5 linked regions of the Canis lupus familiaris genome follow. The protein of the gene in region 1 purifies or fractionates together with the protein of each later gene. This does not show direct contact. Links are inferred from orthologs where the notes say so. Each region holds a gene or a part of one and is shown in the gene's direction. Other genes may lie near its edges.

The links. The genes of interacting proteins can lie anywhere in the genome.
Region 2: the proteins of BCL7A (region 1) and ARID2 purify together in Homo sapiens (affinity purification with mass spectrometry; 3 studies listed by BioGRID and IntAct, counting the BioPlex papers as one, with this or other methods). This does not show direct contact. The link is inferred for Canis lupus familiaris from reciprocal best matches to the Homo sapiens genes BCL7A and ARID2.
Region 3: the proteins of BCL7A (region 1) and PBRM1 purify together in Homo sapiens (affinity purification with mass spectrometry; 3 studies listed by BioGRID and IntAct, counting the BioPlex papers as one, with this or other methods). This does not show direct contact. The link is inferred for Canis lupus familiaris from reciprocal best matches to the Homo sapiens genes BCL7A and PBRM1.
Region 4: the proteins of BCL7A (region 1) and DPF2 purify together in Homo sapiens (affinity purification with mass spectrometry; 3 studies listed by BioGRID and IntAct, counting the BioPlex papers as one, with this or other methods). This does not show direct contact. The link is inferred for Canis lupus familiaris from reciprocal best matches to the Homo sapiens genes BCL7A and DPF2.
Region 5: the proteins of BCL7A (region 1) and SMARCD3 purify together in Homo sapiens (affinity purification with mass spectrometry; 4 studies listed by BioGRID and IntAct, counting the BioPlex papers as one, with this or other methods). This does not show direct contact. The link is inferred for Canis lupus familiaris from reciprocal best matches to the Homo sapiens genes BCL7A and SMARCD3.

The regions. Positions count from the first base shown.
Region 1 is NC_049247.1:7,498,535-7,501,888, reverse strand, and holds part of BCL7A (B-cell CLL/lymphoma 7 protein family member A), read left to right. Parts: intron 1-467; coding exon 468-652; intron 653-3,354.
Region 2 is NC_049248.1:38,086,897-38,090,483, forward strand, and holds part of ARID2 (AT-rich interactive domain-containing protein 2), read left to right. Parts: intron 1-151; coding exon 152-286; intron 287-921; coding exon 922-1,118; intron 1,119-1,382; coding exon 1,383-3,587. UniProt on the Homo sapiens protein: Involved in transcriptional activation and repression of select genes by chromatin remodeling (alteration of DNA-nucleosome topology). Required for the stability of the SWI/SNF chromatin remodeling complex SWI/SNF-B (PBAF).
Region 3 is NC_049241.1:37,590,973-37,594,559, forward strand, and holds part of PBRM1 (protein polybromo-1), read left to right. Parts: intron 1-675; coding exon 676-861; intron 862-1,716; coding exon 1,717-1,874; intron 1,875-2,511; coding exon 2,512-2,775; intron 2,776-3,587. UniProt on the Homo sapiens protein: Involved in transcriptional activation and repression of select genes by chromatin remodeling (alteration of DNA-nucleosome topology). Required for the stability of the SWI/SNF chromatin remodeling complex SWI/SNF-B (PBAF).
Region 4 is NC_049239.1:52,345,470-52,349,056, reverse strand, and holds part of DPF2 (zinc finger protein ubi-d4), read left to right. Parts: intron 1-1,961; coding exon 1,962-2,122; intron 2,123-2,559; coding exon 2,560-2,667; intron 2,668-3,026; coding exon 3,027-3,190; intron 3,191-3,587. UniProt on the Homo sapiens protein: Plays an active role in transcriptional regulation by binding modified histones H3 and H4. Is a negative regulator of myeloid differentiation of hematopoietic progenitor cells. Might also have a role in the development and maturation of lymphoid cells.
Region 5 is NC_049237.1:16,009,409-16,012,995, reverse strand, and holds part of SMARCD3 (SWI/SNF-related matrix-associated actin-dependent regulator of chromatin subfamily D member 3), read left to right. Parts: intron 1-485; coding exon 486-697; intron 698-2,417; coding exon 2,418-2,460; intron 2,461-3,260; coding exon 3,261-3,383; intron 3,384-3,505; coding exon 3,506-3,587. UniProt on the Homo sapiens protein: Involved in transcriptional activation and repression of select genes by chromatin remodeling (alteration of DNA-nucleosome topology).

The DNA.
Region 1 (3,354 bases):
TTTCTATGCAATGATCAGTCATTGCTCTGATGGTCAGGAAAATACCCATATTATTAAGAGAAATGTCTACAAAAGGGCAGTTACCTCCACAGGCTCCCCAGGTGCAGCATGCAGGCTCTGGAGTGAAAGAGGGAGGAGTCAGCAGCCATGATGTTTGGAACATGTTGTGCCCACTGGAGGGCGCCAGATGCACATGGCACAAAGCATGCAGCATCCCTAAGATGTCCTCTGGGGCAGGCGGCAGGTAGTGGGTGTGCAGGAAAGGGCTGGAGGCCCTAGGGCCAGCCACTTAACATGACCTCACTAAAAATTTAAGAGGCTTCCCAAGCCCTCCCAGCTCCTTGCAACCCTGACAGACCGCCTGGCCACAAAAACTACCCAGTTCCAGGTATTTTTAGTAATTGGTCCATCTGGTTCCACATCTCACGTGTCTGAAAACAGCTTCTGTCATCTTGCTTTTCCCTTAGATGCTTCTGACGAGCAGAATTCACAGTCTTCAATGGAAAACTCGATGAACAGTTCAGAGAAAGTAGAACGGCAGCCATCTGGAGACGCGGGTCTAGCTGCAGAGATGTCCGCAATCTCTCAGGTACCTCGATCGAGGCCTCAGAGGGGCAGCCAGATCAGCCAGGAGCCCGTTGGGGTGTTGGGGGTACGTTGAAAGGTGTTTTGTTATTTTGTTTTGTTGTTTTTTCCCTGTATCCATGGAGCAGGATTCGTGAGTATCCTGTGTCCGTCCTGGGCATTAGAGCTACAGCAAAGGCCAGGACACAGGGCCCAGCCCTCAGGGAGGAGGATATAGGAAGAGGAGGCATCCTCTTTCCCAGCCTCAGCTTTATCACTTTGTTTACCCAGGTCCACAAAAGCATTGCCTGCTCTAGTGACTTAAAGTCAACTTCCTTTATTGCTGGGACAATAAGTCTTCAGAATCCTAAATGCAAGATGAATCATGTTTTGGAATTTTGCAACTGACTGCACTGCCCCCTTGCTTCGACCCCGTTCTGGGTCATCACTGTTTGTCAGCATCTGGTCTGAATCAGACAGTGCAGGAACAGGTGGCTACTGGCTAGGAACAAACACCCTGGATTCGAATCCCAGCTCCTTAACTTAGCATAACCGAGCCTCCTTGTCTGCAACTGCCAAAATGGGATCATAGAAACTGTCTTGGGGCCAGAGCACAGATGGGATGAGAGAATACAGCTAACACACTTGGTGTGGAGCTGGACACGGGAATGCCCCAGATGCCATCATTGTGATTTTTCACTATCAACCCTCTGGGCTCACCTAAAATGAGTAGTTTGGGGACCCCGAGGTGTCAAAACTTCAACTAATAAAACGATCTTCTAGTACCTCAGGAGAAACTGACAAAAAGTAGCAGCAGAAAGGTTGGAAGAGGCAGAGGGTGGCAGGATGTGGTCTGCACTTTGCAGAGCCGTAAGCCAGGCCTCCCCCAAGGGGAAGTGCCTCCTGGACTCTAATGTCTCTATCCCCTTACCTGCAGGACACTCCTCCAAATGACCAAAGACACAGGAGTGTTGATGGAAGATATGTTTGCAGTGGCAGGAAATTGGCCACAACCTAAGTTTGTCGAAAGGGGACTGGTTAAATAATCTGTGGTCGTGGATGAAACAGATGGGTGTGCAGCTGTTAAAAAGGGTGTGGTTGACCCAGGTACAGACAGTAAAGAATTATCCTCACAATGTGAAATGAGGAAAGCAAGACCTAGAACCTCAGGCATAGCATGAGCCCACTTGATTAAAAATCAAAGCCTTGGGATCCCTGGGTGGCGCAGCGGTTTAGTGCCTGCCTTTGGCCCAGGGCATGATCCTGGAGACCGGGGATCAAATCCCACGTCGGGCTCCTGGTACATGGAGCCTGCTTCTCCCTCTGCCTGTGTCTCGGCCTCTCTCTCTCTCACTGTGTGCCTATCATAAATAAATAAAAATTAAAAAAAAAAAAAAAAGGATCTCAATCCCTAAAAAAAAAAAAAAAATCAAAGCCTTGTGTATAGTTTGTAAAAACCAGGGTGTCTGCTGGGATCTCCTGGCCTTCCAAACTCAGTTTTGTTTTGTTTTGTTTTGTTTTGTTTTTTCAACTTAGCTTGAAACTTTGATCCATACCCTGGCGGCATCTAGTGTTACCCCCCGCCCTGCCCCACCCCTCAGATATCTGAAAGGTACAGGGCTCTTACATTCTAACATGCCCCCAACCTCCAGTCCCATTTCCAGGGGACCCAGACCTGAAATGGAGCCTCTTCCACTGTTCTCATGTATACACAGACACAAATATTCGTCCACAGAGCTCCCAGGTCTATGAGCAAAGTGGAGGAGGATGCATTTTAGTTAAGCAACTCGACATTGACATTTGGCCATTCCTGTGTTTAAAAAAAAAAAAAGCTTCCCCAACCTCCCAACAGGAGGAATACTCTGGCTGTTCTCTGTATTCAACTGTCCTGAGCTTGTAGCTCCTCTCTTTTGTTCCCCTTTCTGTTTCTCCGTCCTCTTCTGTACCTTCTGGTACGCAGAGCAGTTCACCTCTCTGCAGGCTCCACTCCCAAGCTCACATGCTGTCCTCCCATCCAAGTGCTCTACAGAACCAAAGGCCTCCTCTCCATTGGGACCCAGCATCCTCTGAAGAAGGCACAGTACCTGCTTTGTCCTGTCATGACCACATTGAGCTTTCATCACTTTCAGAATGAGAAGAAGGGAGAACACAGAGGCGGCTCTTACAGCCTCTCTATGATGCCTCAGGGTCTGCCACAAGAAGCTCATACGCAGCCCACATCAAGGCACTGGGGTCTCTATATTAAACATACACTGGGTACCCATAGTGGACCAGGCCCTGTGTTAGATACTAGGGACCCAGGATGAGCCAGAGATGGGGTCCCTCCCTGCCCTCATGGGGCTCATGATGTGGTGGGTGAGGAAGAGACACAGCCAGGATATAGCAGGGACAAGCAGATGACAAGGTCATAGCACGTGCTCCAGAAAAACCAAGATGAGGATGAAAGGAGGCCTGACAGTGGAACATTGTTTGGGCTGGTGTAGGCAGAGAAATGGGCTGTGAGCAGGAATTTGAAGGATGAGAATACAGGGCCATGAGAGCAGGCTTTCTGGACAGAGGGAACCAGAGGTTTGGGCCTGGAAATAGGAACAAGCCTGAGAACAAAAAGGAAGGCCAGGGGTCTGGGTCTAGAAGGCAAGGAAGAGAACAACCAGTTGGGTGCCGGGTCTTCTCAGCCTGGTAAGGAGCTGGCATTTTGCTCTGAAGTCAGTGGGAAAGCATCAGTGGGTTTTATGTTCTGTGTTTGTTTCTATTTGGGGATTTCTTGAACTATGTTGAAAGCTGCCTAGG
Region 2 (3,587 bases), on another chromosome or scaffold:
GCATTTTTGCTAATAACATGAGATAGTCAAATTTGATTGACAGGCATAAATATTACCTTATGATACATTGCCTTCAAGTAGTTTTACTATATTTAAATATGAACTCTACTGTAATATATTGCGTAATGCCATTTATTTTTCTCCTTTTTAGGCTAAATGCTCATTTTGAAGTAAATCCAGACTGTTCTGTCTCTCGAGCAGAGATGTATTCTGAGTACCTCTCAACGTGCAGTAAATTAGCTCGTGGTGGAATCCTAACTTCAACTGGATTTTATAAATGTCTTAGGTAGGATGTTTAGTTATTAACTTTAAACAAAGTTAATTTGAATCACCTAGAATATCTCTTGCTCTTTGGGGAAAATACCAACTATCTATCTACTTTTAAATATTTCTACTACTTGAAATTTCATATAGGCTATGTTGTAATAAGATGGAAATTTAAATACAAGGAGATTTTTGGAAATCAAACCTCATGTTTGTGTTTAAACATTATGAGGCTTATCAAAGAAAGAGAAGGGAAAAACTTCTTTCTACCCACTGAAATATGTTAGAGACATGACTTTTGCCCTTTTTATCTTGAATAATAGTCTACAACTAATACTCTTATCTTCAAATATCAAGGCTTTTGATATTTTGCAAAAGTTCATAAAATAGACATTGCCTAGATGCAGCTTCTTTGTTCATTAGATATGGTATAGAATTATTTAAAACCCAACAATGTTAATAATGATTTTAAAAATTGGGAAATTGATCTTTTATATTTTTTCTTTGCTTCCCACCCTTACAGAATAGATCTATATGAATCATACTGGTTCGTATTAGTAGCAGTAACTATCCTGCTACTGTTCATGTAAACATTGTTTGAAATGTTTTTTGCTCGTTTGCTAGTTTATAAAACTAAGTTATGTGTGTACTTTACAGAACGGTCTTTCCAAATCATACAGTGAAGAGAGTGGAGGATTCCAGTAGCAACGGGCAGGCACATATTCATGTAGTAGGAGTAAAAAGGAGGGCTATACCACTTCCCATTCAGATGTACTATCAGCAGCAACCAGTTTCTACTCCTGTTGTTCGTGTTGATTCTGTTCCTGATGTATCTCCAAGTCCTTCACCTGCAGGTATTAATTTTTGAGTTTTTAAGTATTACTAACTTAACAAACAAAATGAAACAGTATATTATATAAATTTAAAATGAATAATTTTTCCTTGTTTTTCCAGTTGCATTTTGCTTATTCTGTTACTTTTATCATATTCATATGATGCAGAGGTGTTAAATGTTAATTTCTTAAAAGGATTTTTCTTTTGTATTAAGTAAAGCAATGCCTACATTCAGCTTTTCAGTCCTTTCCTTATGAATTTTGACCTTTCCCTCATATTTTCAGGAATCCCTCATGGACCACAAACTGTAGGAAACCATTTTCAGAGGACTTCTGTTACCAACCAGTCTTCAAATTTGACTGCAACACAAATGTCTTTTCCAGTACAAGGTGTTCATACTGTGGCACAGACTGTTTCCAGAATTCCACCAAATCCTGCAGTTCATACCCACCAGCAGCAAAATGCTCCAGTGACTGTCATTCAAAATAAAGCTCCAATTCCTTGTGAAGTTGTTAAGGCTACAGTAATCCAGAATTCTATATCCCAGACAGCAGTTCCTGTTAGCATTGCTGTGGGAGGTGGAGCTGCTCAGAGTTCTGTGGTTCAGAATCACAGTACAGGGCCACAACCTGTTACGGTTGTAAATTCCCAGACATTGCTTCATCATCCATCTGTAATTCCACAACAGTCTCCATTACACACAGTGGTACCAGGACAGATACCTTCCGGCACTCCTGTTACAGTAATTCAACAAGCTGTCCCACAGAGTCATATATTTGGCAGAGTACAGAACATACCAGCATGTACTTCTTCAGTATCACAGGGTCAACAGTTAATCACCACATCACCCCAACCTGTGCAAACTTCATCTCAACAGACGTCAGCTGGTAGCCAGCCGCAAGACACTGTTATCATAGCACCTTCACAGTATGTAACAACTTCTGCATCCAATATTGTCTCAGCAACTTCAGTACAGAATTTTCAGGTAGCTACGGGACAAATGGTTACCATTGCTGGTGTCCCAAGTCCACAACCCTCAAGGGTAGGGTTTCAGAACATTGCACCAAAACCTCTCCCTTCTCAGCAAGTTTCATCAACAGTGGTACAACAGCCCATTCAACAACCACAGCAGCCAACCCAACAGAGTGTAGTGATTGTAAGCCAGCCAGCTCAACAAGGTCAGACTTATGCACCAGCCATTCACCAAATTGTTCTTGCTAATCCAGCAGCTCTTCCAGCTGGTCAGACAGTTCAGTTAACTGGGCAACCAAACATAACTCCATCTTCCTCACCATCACCTGTCCCAGCTACTAATAACCAAGTTCCTACTGCCATGTCATCATCTTCCACCCCTCAATCACAGGGACCACCTCCTACCGTCAGTCAGATGCTATCTGTGAAAAGGCAGCAACAGCAGCAGCATTCACCAGCACCCTCACCGCAACAGGTACAAGTACAGGTTCAGCAGCCCCAACAAGTACAGATGCAAGTTCAGCCACAGCAAGCGAATGCAGGCGTTGGTCAGCCTGCTTCTGGTGAGTCAAGTCTGATAAAACAGTTGCTGCTTCCAAAGCGTGGCCCTTCGACACCGGGTGGTAAGCTAATTCTCCCAGCTCCACAGATTCCTCCCCCTAATAACGCGAGAGCTCCCAGCCCTCAGGTGGTATACCAGGTGGCCAATAACCAAGCAGCAGGTTTTGGAGTGCAGGGGCAGTCTTCAGCTCAGCAGCTGTTGGTTGGGCAGCAAAATGTTCAGTTGGTACAAAGTGCAATGCCACCCACAGGCGGAGTGCAAACTGTACCTATCTCGAACTTACAAATATTACCAGGCCCACTGATTTCAAACAGCCCAGCAACCATTTTCCAAGGGACTTCTGGCAACCAGGTAACCATAACAGTTGTGCCAAATACAAGTTTTGCAACTGCAACTGTGAGTCAGGGAAATGCAACTCAGCTCATTGCTCCAGCAGGAATTACCATGAGTGGGACACAGGCAGGAGTTGGACTTCAGGTGCAAACGCTTCCAGCCACTCAGACATCTCCAGCTGGACAATCATCCTGTACTACTGCTACTCCCCCATTCAAAGGTGATAAGATAATTTGCCAAAAGGAGGAGGAAGCAAAAGAAGCAACAGGTTTACATGTTCACGAACGTAAAATTGAAGTAATGGAGAACCCGTCCTGCCGGCGAGGAACCACGAACACCAGCAATGGGGATACAAAGGAAAATGAAATGCAGGTGGGAAGTCTTTTAAATGGGAGAAAGTACAGTGACTCAAGTCTACCTCCTTCAAACTCAGGGAAAATTCAAAGTGAGGCTAATCAGTGCTCACTAATCAGTAATGGGCCATCGTTAGAATTAGGTGAGAATGGAACATCTGGAAAACAGAACTTGGAACAAATGGACATGCCGGATATCAAAAGTGATTTGAAAAAACCTCTAGTTAATGGAATCTGTGATTTTGATAAGGGAGATGGTTCTCATTTAA
Region 3 (3,587 bases), on another chromosome or scaffold:
GTGTAGATATATATAGTTTACATTATATTGTATGATACGCATGTTCTCTATTTCCTTAATTCTAAGATTCCATTAATTTTGACATACCCATATAATAACTGTTAGGGTAAAAAAAAATTTAGAGACTTTAAGATGGAGAGGAAGTATATATGAGATTATTTCCATGATTTTACAGGTAATCTGTTTTCTTCTTTATACCTTTGTTTATCATCAGGAATGACTGCATTGAGCATATATTATTAACGTGGTTATTTTTATTGTGTAGACCCTTTGTTTATTTATGTATTTATTTAAATGAGGGCGGTTGGTTGTAACTCAAAAAGGCAATTTTGAGTAGAGGCTCTCGGGAATACAGATATCCTGCTATTTGTCCTGAATCTCGCCCTTGAAGGTCTAGAAAAGAATGAAATATATTAGTATGTGTTGTTTGAATCCTTTTTTTTTTTTTTAAGATTTTATTTATTTATTCATGAGAGACAGAGAGAGAGAGGCAGAGGGAGAAACAGGCTCCATGCAGGGAGCCCGACATGGGACTCCATCCCGGAACTCCAGGATCACACCCTGGACTTAAGGCGGCACTAAACCGCTGAGCCACCGGGGCTGCCCTGTTGTTTGAATCCTACATCTGATTGCCATATCTCTTTAATGGGAGCCTTTTTGTCTTTTTCACCGAAGAAGCTGAAAAGAGTGAAGACTCCTCAGGCACCACAGGCCTCTCTGGCTTACATCGCACATACAGCCAGGACTGCAGCTTTAAGAACAGCATGTACCACGTTGGAGACTACGTGTATGTGGAGCCCGCAGAAGCCAGCCTGCAACCACACATAGTCTGCATTGAGAGGCTGTGGGAAGATTCTGCTGGTAAGTTGGTTTTCAATCAAAGGGCACGCTGGTGACATGTGACTGTTTTACTCCTCCTCGGTCCTCAGGGAAAAAAATTGTAACTCAGACATTTTATTCCTTGCAACAATAGTTGTTCTACAGTGTATTATTGGTAAAGAGAACCTAGCAACCTCTATATGAAAAACATAGGATCTAGCACTCTTGGGCCAGTGAGTGGCACAGTTGAGTCAAAGGCACAACTTCCTGAAATGAGGTTGAGATTCATTCACTCAATGGGTATTTCTTTAAAACACACAGTAAACCAAACTGTAGGATGGCAGAGCCTCACAGGAACTAAGGACTCATGTTTTGCCTCTGGCAATACCACTCTGGTACAAATCACAAATGAAAAGGAAATTATTATAGTGTGATATGGACCTTGACTTAGAATTTGATTTCAAAAAGGCGTCCTAGTAAAGTTGCCTTTAATTTAGAACATGGAGAACAAATAGGAGTTAATGAAGCCAGAGCAGAGATATGATTCAGGCAGTCCAGTTCCCTCAGCTGCTTCTCATGAAATACCTTTGTATTCCTTCCCCTGAGTGTGTATCCTGTCCACAACAGAGTAGGGCAGGTATCATCACCTTATTCATCATGTATATTATACATCTTTTAATATGAGGGGGAAAGTTGTATTTTTTTTAGACCTCATCATTCTTCATTACTTTAAAGTATCATTTCTTTAAGATAAATATTTTAAGAAACTGTGGCCTAAAAAGCACATTGTTATTATGTTCAGGCCATGGCAGAATGGATGGAGAATTTGCTCATTTTGCAAAGAATGTGTGATTTCTATTAATGGTAATTCCCTCTCTCCCCCTTTTTGTTTTTGAGGTGAAAAATGGTTGTATGGCTGTTGGTTTTATCGGCCAAATGAAACATTCCATCTGGCTACACGAAAATTTCTAGAAAAAGAAGTTTTTAAGAGTGACTATTACAATAAAGTTCCTGTTAGTAAAATTCTAGGAAAATGTGTGGTCATGTTTGTCAAGGTAAGAAACTCATTATTCCCCAAAGTACAAATCATTCCATGAAAATAACATTTTCAAACAAAAAATAATAATATTTACAAATTAGGTGCTCTGTAAAAATCTTCAAAAAAATTTTTTAAGCTGTATCTATATAGCTGTGTGTAAAGATTTGGGAAGAAATTAATCTGATCATGATGATGAAAGACCACCATTGGCTGCCTACACTATATAACTATATGCGGTTAGCTTAAAATTTTTTATATTGCCAGGCTAATTTTTGAGAATGACATTTTCTGAAAGATCATTTAAAATTATCAGTGTGCTTTTTAGGTAACAAAGTATACTTTGTGTATCTATCTGATACAGGCACATTGAGCCCTATCCAAAGCTTTTAGGAACATTATAAAGCTGTATGAAATGCTAATATATTTTCAAAAGGGCAGTTAGTAAGCTAAAGGATATATGTATTTAATAAGCCATTCTGTAGCAGGGAAATGCTTGTACATCTCTAACCATTTACTATTTGTTGTTAACTATCAGAAAGTCTTAACGGTTTATTTTTGTTCGTTTGCTTGATTGACGTGTGGTTTTGGTTTTTTTGGTTAACTGGTTTTCAGAAAATGCACCTAACTAATAATCTTATTCTTATATCTCCCAGGAATACTTTAAATTATGCCCAGAAAACTTTCGAGATGAGGATGTTTTTGTCTGTGAATCACGGTATTCTGCCAAAACCAAATCTTTTAAGAAAATTAAACTGTGGACCATGCCCATTAGCTCCGTTAGGTTTGTCCCTCGGGATGTGCCCTTGCCTGTGGTCCGAGTGGCCTCTGTATTTGCAAATGCAGATAAAGGGGATGATGAGAAGAACACAGACAACTCAGAAGACAGTCGAACTGAAGACAGTTATAACTTGGAAAAGGTAGGTAGCTAGAAGCCACACAAAAGAATTTTACATTTCAAAATACCTGTTCCAAGGCCTATTCCAAGGCACTGAGCCTGGGTGGCTCATTCAGTTAAACATCTCCCTTTGGCTTAGGTCATGATCCTGGGGTTCTGGGATCGAGCCCTGCATGGGGCTCCCTGCTCAGCAAGGAGCCTACTTCTCCCTCTCCCTCTCCCCTTTTCCCTTGTTTATGCTCTCTTTCTCAAATAAATACATAAAATCTTTAAAAAAAAATTTTTTTTTAAAAACCTATTCCAAAAAAAAAAAAACCTATTCCAGAAAATAAGTGAATAAAGCATTCAAATTCAGAATGAAAAAGTACAACAACAAAAAACCTTAGCCAAACAGAAAGAAGGGAATTATATAAGAAGGACAGAAATTAAGGCTTAGAAAACTACAGTAGAATTTAAAAGTAATTTTTAATTCTTTAACTTTTTATTCTTAAAAAACTTTAATTCTTAAAATTTAAATTCTCCAAGTGCTAATTCTTGACATGTCCAATGAGATAAACTACCAACTATCCTAATAAAAAAATAAGGCAATTAAGTTCAGACATACACATGTAGAAGAAATTTGAAGAATTTACATTTCTGTTAGTAAATTTGAAAGCCTGAATAAAATGAATAATTTTCTAGGACACTGTAAATTACTGAAGAATCCAGAAGAGATGTAACGAAGTGGACAACATCAAAAAAAATTTTTTAATGCCTTGAGAGCTAATCACAGAGTACTCAAATTCCATTCTTTTAACCCTTTTAAGAGACCTATAATTATAATACTGTTTAAAT
Region 4 (3,587 bases), on another chromosome or scaffold:
GAAACCACCTCTGCCCTCAGTTTATTTAAGATTGATTGTATATGTAAATACGAATCACTGTAGTTAAAGTTCCAATATTAACATGCTTGTTAAACCCTGAGGATGAGGGATCCCTGGGTGGCGCAGCGTTTGGCGCCTGCCTTTGGCCCAGGGCGCGATCCTGGAGACCCGGGATCGAATCCCACGTCAGCCTCCCGGTGCATGGAGTCTGCTTCTCCTCTGCCTATGTCTCTGCCTCTCTCTCTTACTGTGTGCCTATCATAAATTAAAAAAAAAAAAAAAAAACCTTGGAAGATGAGATTGCTTCTATATACATGCTTCGTAGAACCAGGTTAACTCCTGGCACTGTGTAGTTTTCCAGCTTTTTGAAGCACTTAAAGGTTTGCCCTTGATTTAGATTTCAAACTGAGTCTTTTGAGTATAAGAAGGTTCTTTCCTATATAATTTGATGGTGTGAGGGGCGCTTGGGTGGCTCAGTTGGTTAAGCATCTGCCTTTAGCCCAGATCATGATCCCAGGGTCCTGGGTTGGAGCCCTGAGTCGGGCTCCCTGCTCCCTGCCACTCGCCCTGCTTGTGTTCTCTTGTGGGTGTGTGTGGGTGTGTCAAATAAATAAATAAAAATCTTAAAAAAAAAAATAATTTGATAGTGTGAGAATGGAAAAGGGCCTAGGATGGGCCTCTCTGAGCAAACAGGGTTTACATCACTCTGATAGTACTCAGTGAAAAAGTAGGCTTCAAGGAAGTTCAGGTATTTTCAGATGTTTTCCATTGACTTTAAAATTAGCATATAGAAAAAATTTTTTTAAATTTAGCATATAGAATTAATTAGTTGGCTAAATACAAGTTTCCCCCCACTTCCAAACAAGTAGAGTGTTCATATGAAACTGTTTATAAGCCAACATGGCATAAAGCAAAGAAGCAATTACCACTTCTTAAAAGTGACAATCGGGCAGCCTCAGTGGCTCAGGGGTTTAGCACCACCTTCACCCCAGGGCGTGATCCTGGAGACCCGGGATCAAGTCCCGCATCAGGCTCCCTGCGTGGAGCCTGCTTCTCCCTCTGCCTGTCTCTGCCTCTCTCTCCCTCTGTTTCTCATGAATAAATAAATAAAAACCTTTTAAAAAAATAAAAGTGAAAATCCTCTCTGGATCTTTTGGTTAGTGAAAACAGATACTAATGTAGGTCTTTTGTAAAAGCGAAGTGACATAAAGTAAATATGTCAGATAAGTAAATATGTCAGGTAGTAGGAGAAACCTGTACCTAGTTTAAAATTCAAAAGACATAAAATAGCATATAGGAAAAATTCCCCCCAGTCGCCCCGTCTTCCTTTCTAGAGGCCTACAGTTTCTTTTCGCCTCTCGTTACATAAATGGTAGCATCCTAATACACTTCTCAGCCTTGTACCTTCCTTTTTTTCCCCTAGTCACCTTGGAAATTGTTTTATGTCTGCACATGAAGAGCTTCCTTCTTTTTTTAATGGCTAAACAATTTCATTGTGTAAAGATGTGCTATAGTTTGTTAAATATATTTAGAAAGCCCCACCATCCCCACCCCCAGAACTTGAACTCTTACTCATTTGTGATAAAACTAACCTCTGCTTCTTAGAGTCATGAGGGTTCAGAGAAACAGCATCTTGACTAGCACAGGGCTGGACTCAAGAGGCACAGAATGAACATTAGTTTCTCTCTCCCTCTTTGTGGGTTAGGCTTAAGTTTGAGTAGACACATGAGAGATCATGTTCCTGAAGGTAATTTATTTATAAAGTTCCTTTCCTCATAATGACTTAGTAAAGGAGCACAGTGTCCCATGAGGCAGAAATGGAGGCAAATAGGACCAAAGCCACAGTCTCCCGGTCCCTTGAGCCTTCCAAAGAAGCAGATGGCAAGGGAAAGGGGTAGCTCAGCACCCTGTGCTCCACCCTGCCCCAACATACACACACCTGATGTTTGTCTCTCCTGCAGCCTTGGGGAGCAGTACTACAAAGATGCCATGGAGCAGTGCCACAATTATAATGCCCGCCTCTGTGCTGAGCGCAGTGTGCGCCTTCCTTTCTTGGACTCACAGACTGGAGTAGCCCAGAGCAACTGTTATATCTGGATGGAAAAGCGGCACCGGGGTCCAGGTGAGGGTTCAGGCTCAGGAGCACAAGGAAGGAAGAAGCTTCTTTATCTTAAGTGATTAGTCAGCTGAGACGGTTTTCCTTACTGCATTCCACCCATGAGTGAATACGGTCTTGCCTTGATTACAATCCCAGGGAGGATGAAGCAGACAGGTTCATAACAGCATCTTTGTTTTCTGCAGGGCTACCCTACTAAAGCTGTCGTTGGGCTTCTGGGGAGCTATGTGTTAACCAAGGCCCCTGAGCTTACATCTGTTTTTCTTTTCCATAAACTGTCCCTCCTACCCTCAGGCCTTCACTGACCATATTCCTCCCTCACTCTAGAACATGGTGGGCAGGAGGGGATGGGGAGAGAGTGCTACTCCCCTAGAAAGTGTTTGATATTATTACCTAGGACTCGATTAGAGCTTGACTTTTCTCTCTTTTCTGTATTTCCACAGGATTGGCCTCTGGGCAGCTATACTCCTACCCTGCTCGGCGCTGGCGGAAAAAGCGGCGAGCCCACCCTCCTGAGGATCCAAGACTTTCTTTCCCGTCTATTAAACCAGGTAAAGCACGCCCCTCCTTGAGCAGGGGTAGGACCTGCTGCATGTAAAAGGCCTGTTATTCACCTGTTCTGTACCAGGCCCAATGCTAGATGCCGAATATGCTAAAATGAATGAGATGTCATTCCTTCCTTTAAAGAACTCAGTCTAAAAAAAAAAAAAGAACTCAGTCTAATAGAGGAGACAGGTAAACAGGTAAGTTGCAATGCCGAGTGTATTGAGTGTATTGGGGTGTCTTCGTTCCTGGGCAATCAGAGACCAAAAGACAGTTACTGGCCCATGGCTGGCCTAGCACTGTGTAGACCCAAAGCGGTCTGCTTTCAGCCCTTCTGAGTCTCGCCTCATCCTGATCTTGCCTACAGACACAGACCAGACCCTGAAGAAAGAGGGGCTGATCTCTCAAGACGGCAGTAGTTTAGAAGCTCTATTGCGCACCGACCCCCTGGAGAAGCGAGGTGCCCCAGATCCCCGAGTGGATGATGACAGCCTGGGCGAGTTTCCTGTGACCAACAGTCGAGCACGGAAGGTACAAGATGAATGCTGTGGCTAAGGGAGCTTTGATGGAAACCAGCCTCCTCTTCATGAGAGGTCACCCAGTCAGTAATCAGAATGGATGCAAAAGCTTTGGGCCAGGTGGCAGGCCCCTGGGGTTCTGTTCCTGCTCAATCTCTAATTAGCACTGGATACTGACTGGCTTCACAATTAGCATCCAGTTTTTCCTATTCCTTTCCTTCTAAGTGGAGACTCTCTCTCATTCATCTTCTTTTGTCACAGATGTTTTTTGGTGCCTGGGATTACATGGGTGAAGCAGACCGGGTCCCTACCAACAGGGAAGATAAAACTATACACAAAAATAACAAGAGCTAAAAATATGATAGGCACTGCACTAAGTGCTTTTCCATCATATTCTCTAGTCTCTACAA
Region 5 (3,587 bases), on another chromosome or scaffold:
CAGTTCCATGCCACCTTGGCCAGGAGGAGCGGGGTGACCTTGGCTAGGTCGCTTTTCTCCTTGAGCTGCGGTTCCCTCATCTGTCAAGTGGGGTTGGAAGGACCCCCTCCGTCCGGTCCGTCTTGCAGAGGAGAATGTGGTTGTGAACATCCTTTGAAAAGGTTGAAAGGCGCCATTAATATTCATTTTCGCGGTACCTTCCGCAAATCCGAGGCTGGCAGTGCCCAGTGCAGTTGCCTGGCTTCAGTTAGCTTCCTGCGGCGAGACGCAGAGCCCCCTCCGCCCAGCCGCGCGGTGGCGGCGCCCCTGCCCCTCCCACCCCTCGCTCACGCGGGCGGCATCAGGGTCACCGGCCGGGGGGGCGGGGGGGGGCGCGGGGTGGGAGACACGCGGCTCTGCGCGCCCGGAACCGGGGCCCTGAGCTGACCGGCGGGCGCCTGTTTCTGCCTCACCTCCGCCCCTCGCCCCCCCTCCCCGCCCCCCAGCGCCCCGGGATGCCGTCTGGAGCCCGGATGCCCCACCAGGGGGCGCCCATGGGCCCCCCGGGCTCCCCGTACATGGGCAGCCCCGCCGTGCGACCCGGCCTGGCCCCCGCGGGCATGGAGCCCGCCCGCAAGCGAGCAGCGCCCCCGCCCGGCCAGAGCCAGGCCCAGAGCCAGGGCCAGCCGGTGCCCACCGCCCCCGCGCGGAGCCGCAGGTGAGTGGGGCCCAGCGCGGAGGGGGCGGGCCACGCGACCCCAGGGACGGGGTGGCTGAGCAGCGAGCCTAGAAGGAGCAGGGAGGGAGGATCGGCCGGGAACGAGCCGTCCTGGGTGGGATGCCCTCTGGGGAGGTGGGCCGAGGGGGCACTGGTCCGGTTCCTTTGTGTGCCCACCGTAGAGACTGAGGCTGCGGCCGTCGCGCCCTTCTCCTTGTCACCTGCTCGCTCCTTCTCTCCACCCCTCGTCCCCAGGTTCTGGGAGATGCTTCCGTCTTTGGGGTGGGGGTGGGGGTGGGGCTGGCAGGAGGGCCGAGGGCTGAGCTTCAGGGATTGTGTTTCTCAAAGTGTGGCTGTCCAGTGCACCGTCCCCAGTCCCCTGGCTTGACTGTTTTAAAAGCCCCACTCGAGATAGTCTAAATCTGACTCTCTGGCCAGGGGGGTGGAGTCTGGGGATGTGCCCTGTGGGTGGGTGGTCTCCATAACGGTCCTGCTCTCAGGTAGTTCTTAGGCACTTAGAGGTTAAAGAGCTGCCCTAATCTGTCTTCTGGACCAGGTCTGCCCCCAGGAGCCACCAGGGGCCAGCCCATTTCCCTGTCTGAGCCAGCTGGTGGCACCCCAAAAGCCCCTGCTGGTGTCTGGCAAGAGAGATGCCCCTCTGGGTTTCACTATTTAACCAAACACACATGCTTCCCTTTGCACACCAGATGGAGTCCTATAAAAGGAGTAATATGGATTTTACCTCATTATTAAATATTTTTTACACATCAAGGAAAATTCACCATTTATAGGAATCCCATGATGAATTCTTTTGCAAAGTGAATCATCTTTTTATACAGTAAACATGTTCCTGATTTGTCTTGTATAGATGGAGAGTTTCACACAGATAATTTCTTCAAAACAAATCAGACCTTTCAGGAAAGATGCTTACCTAGCCTTAGAATAGGCTTTTGGACAGGAGGGGGCAGTGGTTACCACCACACAGGGATGGTACAGAGCCATGCCCCAGGCTGGGTGCTAATCTCAACTGGCCAAGGATTTTCTGGGGTGCTTTTGGGAATCAGAAGCAGCTAGCAGATCAAGAAGAGTTCAAGTCCCAGCTGCCACCTCAAGTCCAGTCTGCAGTCACACCCTGCAGGACATCCCTCTCTCTGGATCCCTACGGGTGTGTTTCTGGACCCTGTTGGCAGGTGATCCCATAGCCTGTCAGCATCCTCTTCCAACCCCGGGTTGCCAGGGGTGCAAGTCCTCACCAGCTTCACCCATCACCTCCTGCTCCAGGGATGGGAGAGGTTGTTGGCTCTGCTTCCCGCTGAGCTCAGGCCACCTCAGGCTGTACACCCCTGCTTAACAGAAAGGGAAAGTCCTCAGAATCCCTCCTCCCTCCCCTCTGTCCTCCCTCTCCCTAGCTTTTCTCAAACACTTTTGCAGCTCCCCCACCCCCCTCACCCCTTCTAAGTCTAAATTTCTCTGGCCTGAGGGTGTGGTGGGGTAGAAAGGGGCTCCCAGACTAAATAAAGGATGGGGCCACATCTGCTCCCCACAAGAGGACATAGCGCCATGCCAGACACCACTGCCGTTGCCCCTTGGGCGGGCAGACAAGCGGGCTGTGGGAACCCCAGCCAGGCGGGTGGAGATGTCGGGATAATTTAGCAGGTGGCCTCGTTACTCCCAGATCTGTCGCCATGGTAACCTGGTTTTTTCTTTAAAAAATGTACAGTGCCAAGAGGAGGAAGATGGCTGACAAAATCCTCCCTCAAAGGGTGAGTGCCTTTCACAGCAGCCCCCAGCCCACCCCCCACCCTTTGCTGCTCTGCCTCCTCCCCCTCTACCCCACCACCCTGGGCCGCTTCCCCTCCCCCCTCAGTAGCAGAGCTTCAGTGTCACAGCCACTTTCACTTTTTGTTTAAAAAGCTAATTAAGAAGTGGGGCTCCCTGGCCAGAGGGAGGGAGTAGGGCAGAGGGAAGGAGCGAAGGAGCCATAAGAGGTAGGGTCTTGCGCCCGGGTGCAGTGGACTGAGCTCCAGGGGACCCAAGACTGGCAGGGGAACTGAAGCCGGCCAGAAGGCCTGGATGTCATAAGTGAAGCCAGGCTGAGCTAGATGTTGGGGTGGGGGGTACTGCAGCTGAGAAGGTAGGTGGAGTGACAAAGTAGGATGCCAGGGTAGAGGCAAGCAGCGACATCCTCGGTCTCAGGCACTCCAGGGTCCTAGCCACTTTGCAGACACCCAAGGGAGGTTCAGAGGCCGTATGACAAGGGAAAGGACAAGATGAGGAGGTGAAGCCCAGTTCCTGGGCTCCGTGGCTGCCAGGGCCTCCCGTGGCGATAATACGCACAGAAACCCCTAGAGGAAGAAGTAGCTTTTATCCCCACATGTGGAGGTCCTTTCTGCTGGATATGCAGTCCTGGGGAGAAGTCCCCATTTGCACTCTCCGAGTTCCATGCCCCGAACCTGGCCAGTTCCCCGCTATGCTTTTTGTACCCTGGGACTGCATGAGGCGCACATTCCACCCACAAGATTGGCTGAGCCCCAGGTTCCCTGCCTTGCTCCTTCTCTTCCAGATCCGGGAGCTGGTCCCCGAGTCCCAGGCTTATATGGACCTGCTGGCGTTTGAGAGGAAACTGGATCAAACCATCATGCGGAAGCGGGTGGACATCCAGGAGGCTCTGAAGAGGCCAATGAAGGTGTCTTGATTTGGGGGCATGAAGAGGTCTCTAGGTCCTGTTCCAGGAATGGAAAAGTGGGACTGCCCCGGGAATGGGAGCACACAGTGTTTGCTCTTGTACTATATTCTTTATTTCTACAGCAAAAGCGGAAGCTGCGTCTTTATATCTCCAATACTTTTAACCCTGCGAAGCCTGATGCTGAAGATTCCGATGGCAGCATTG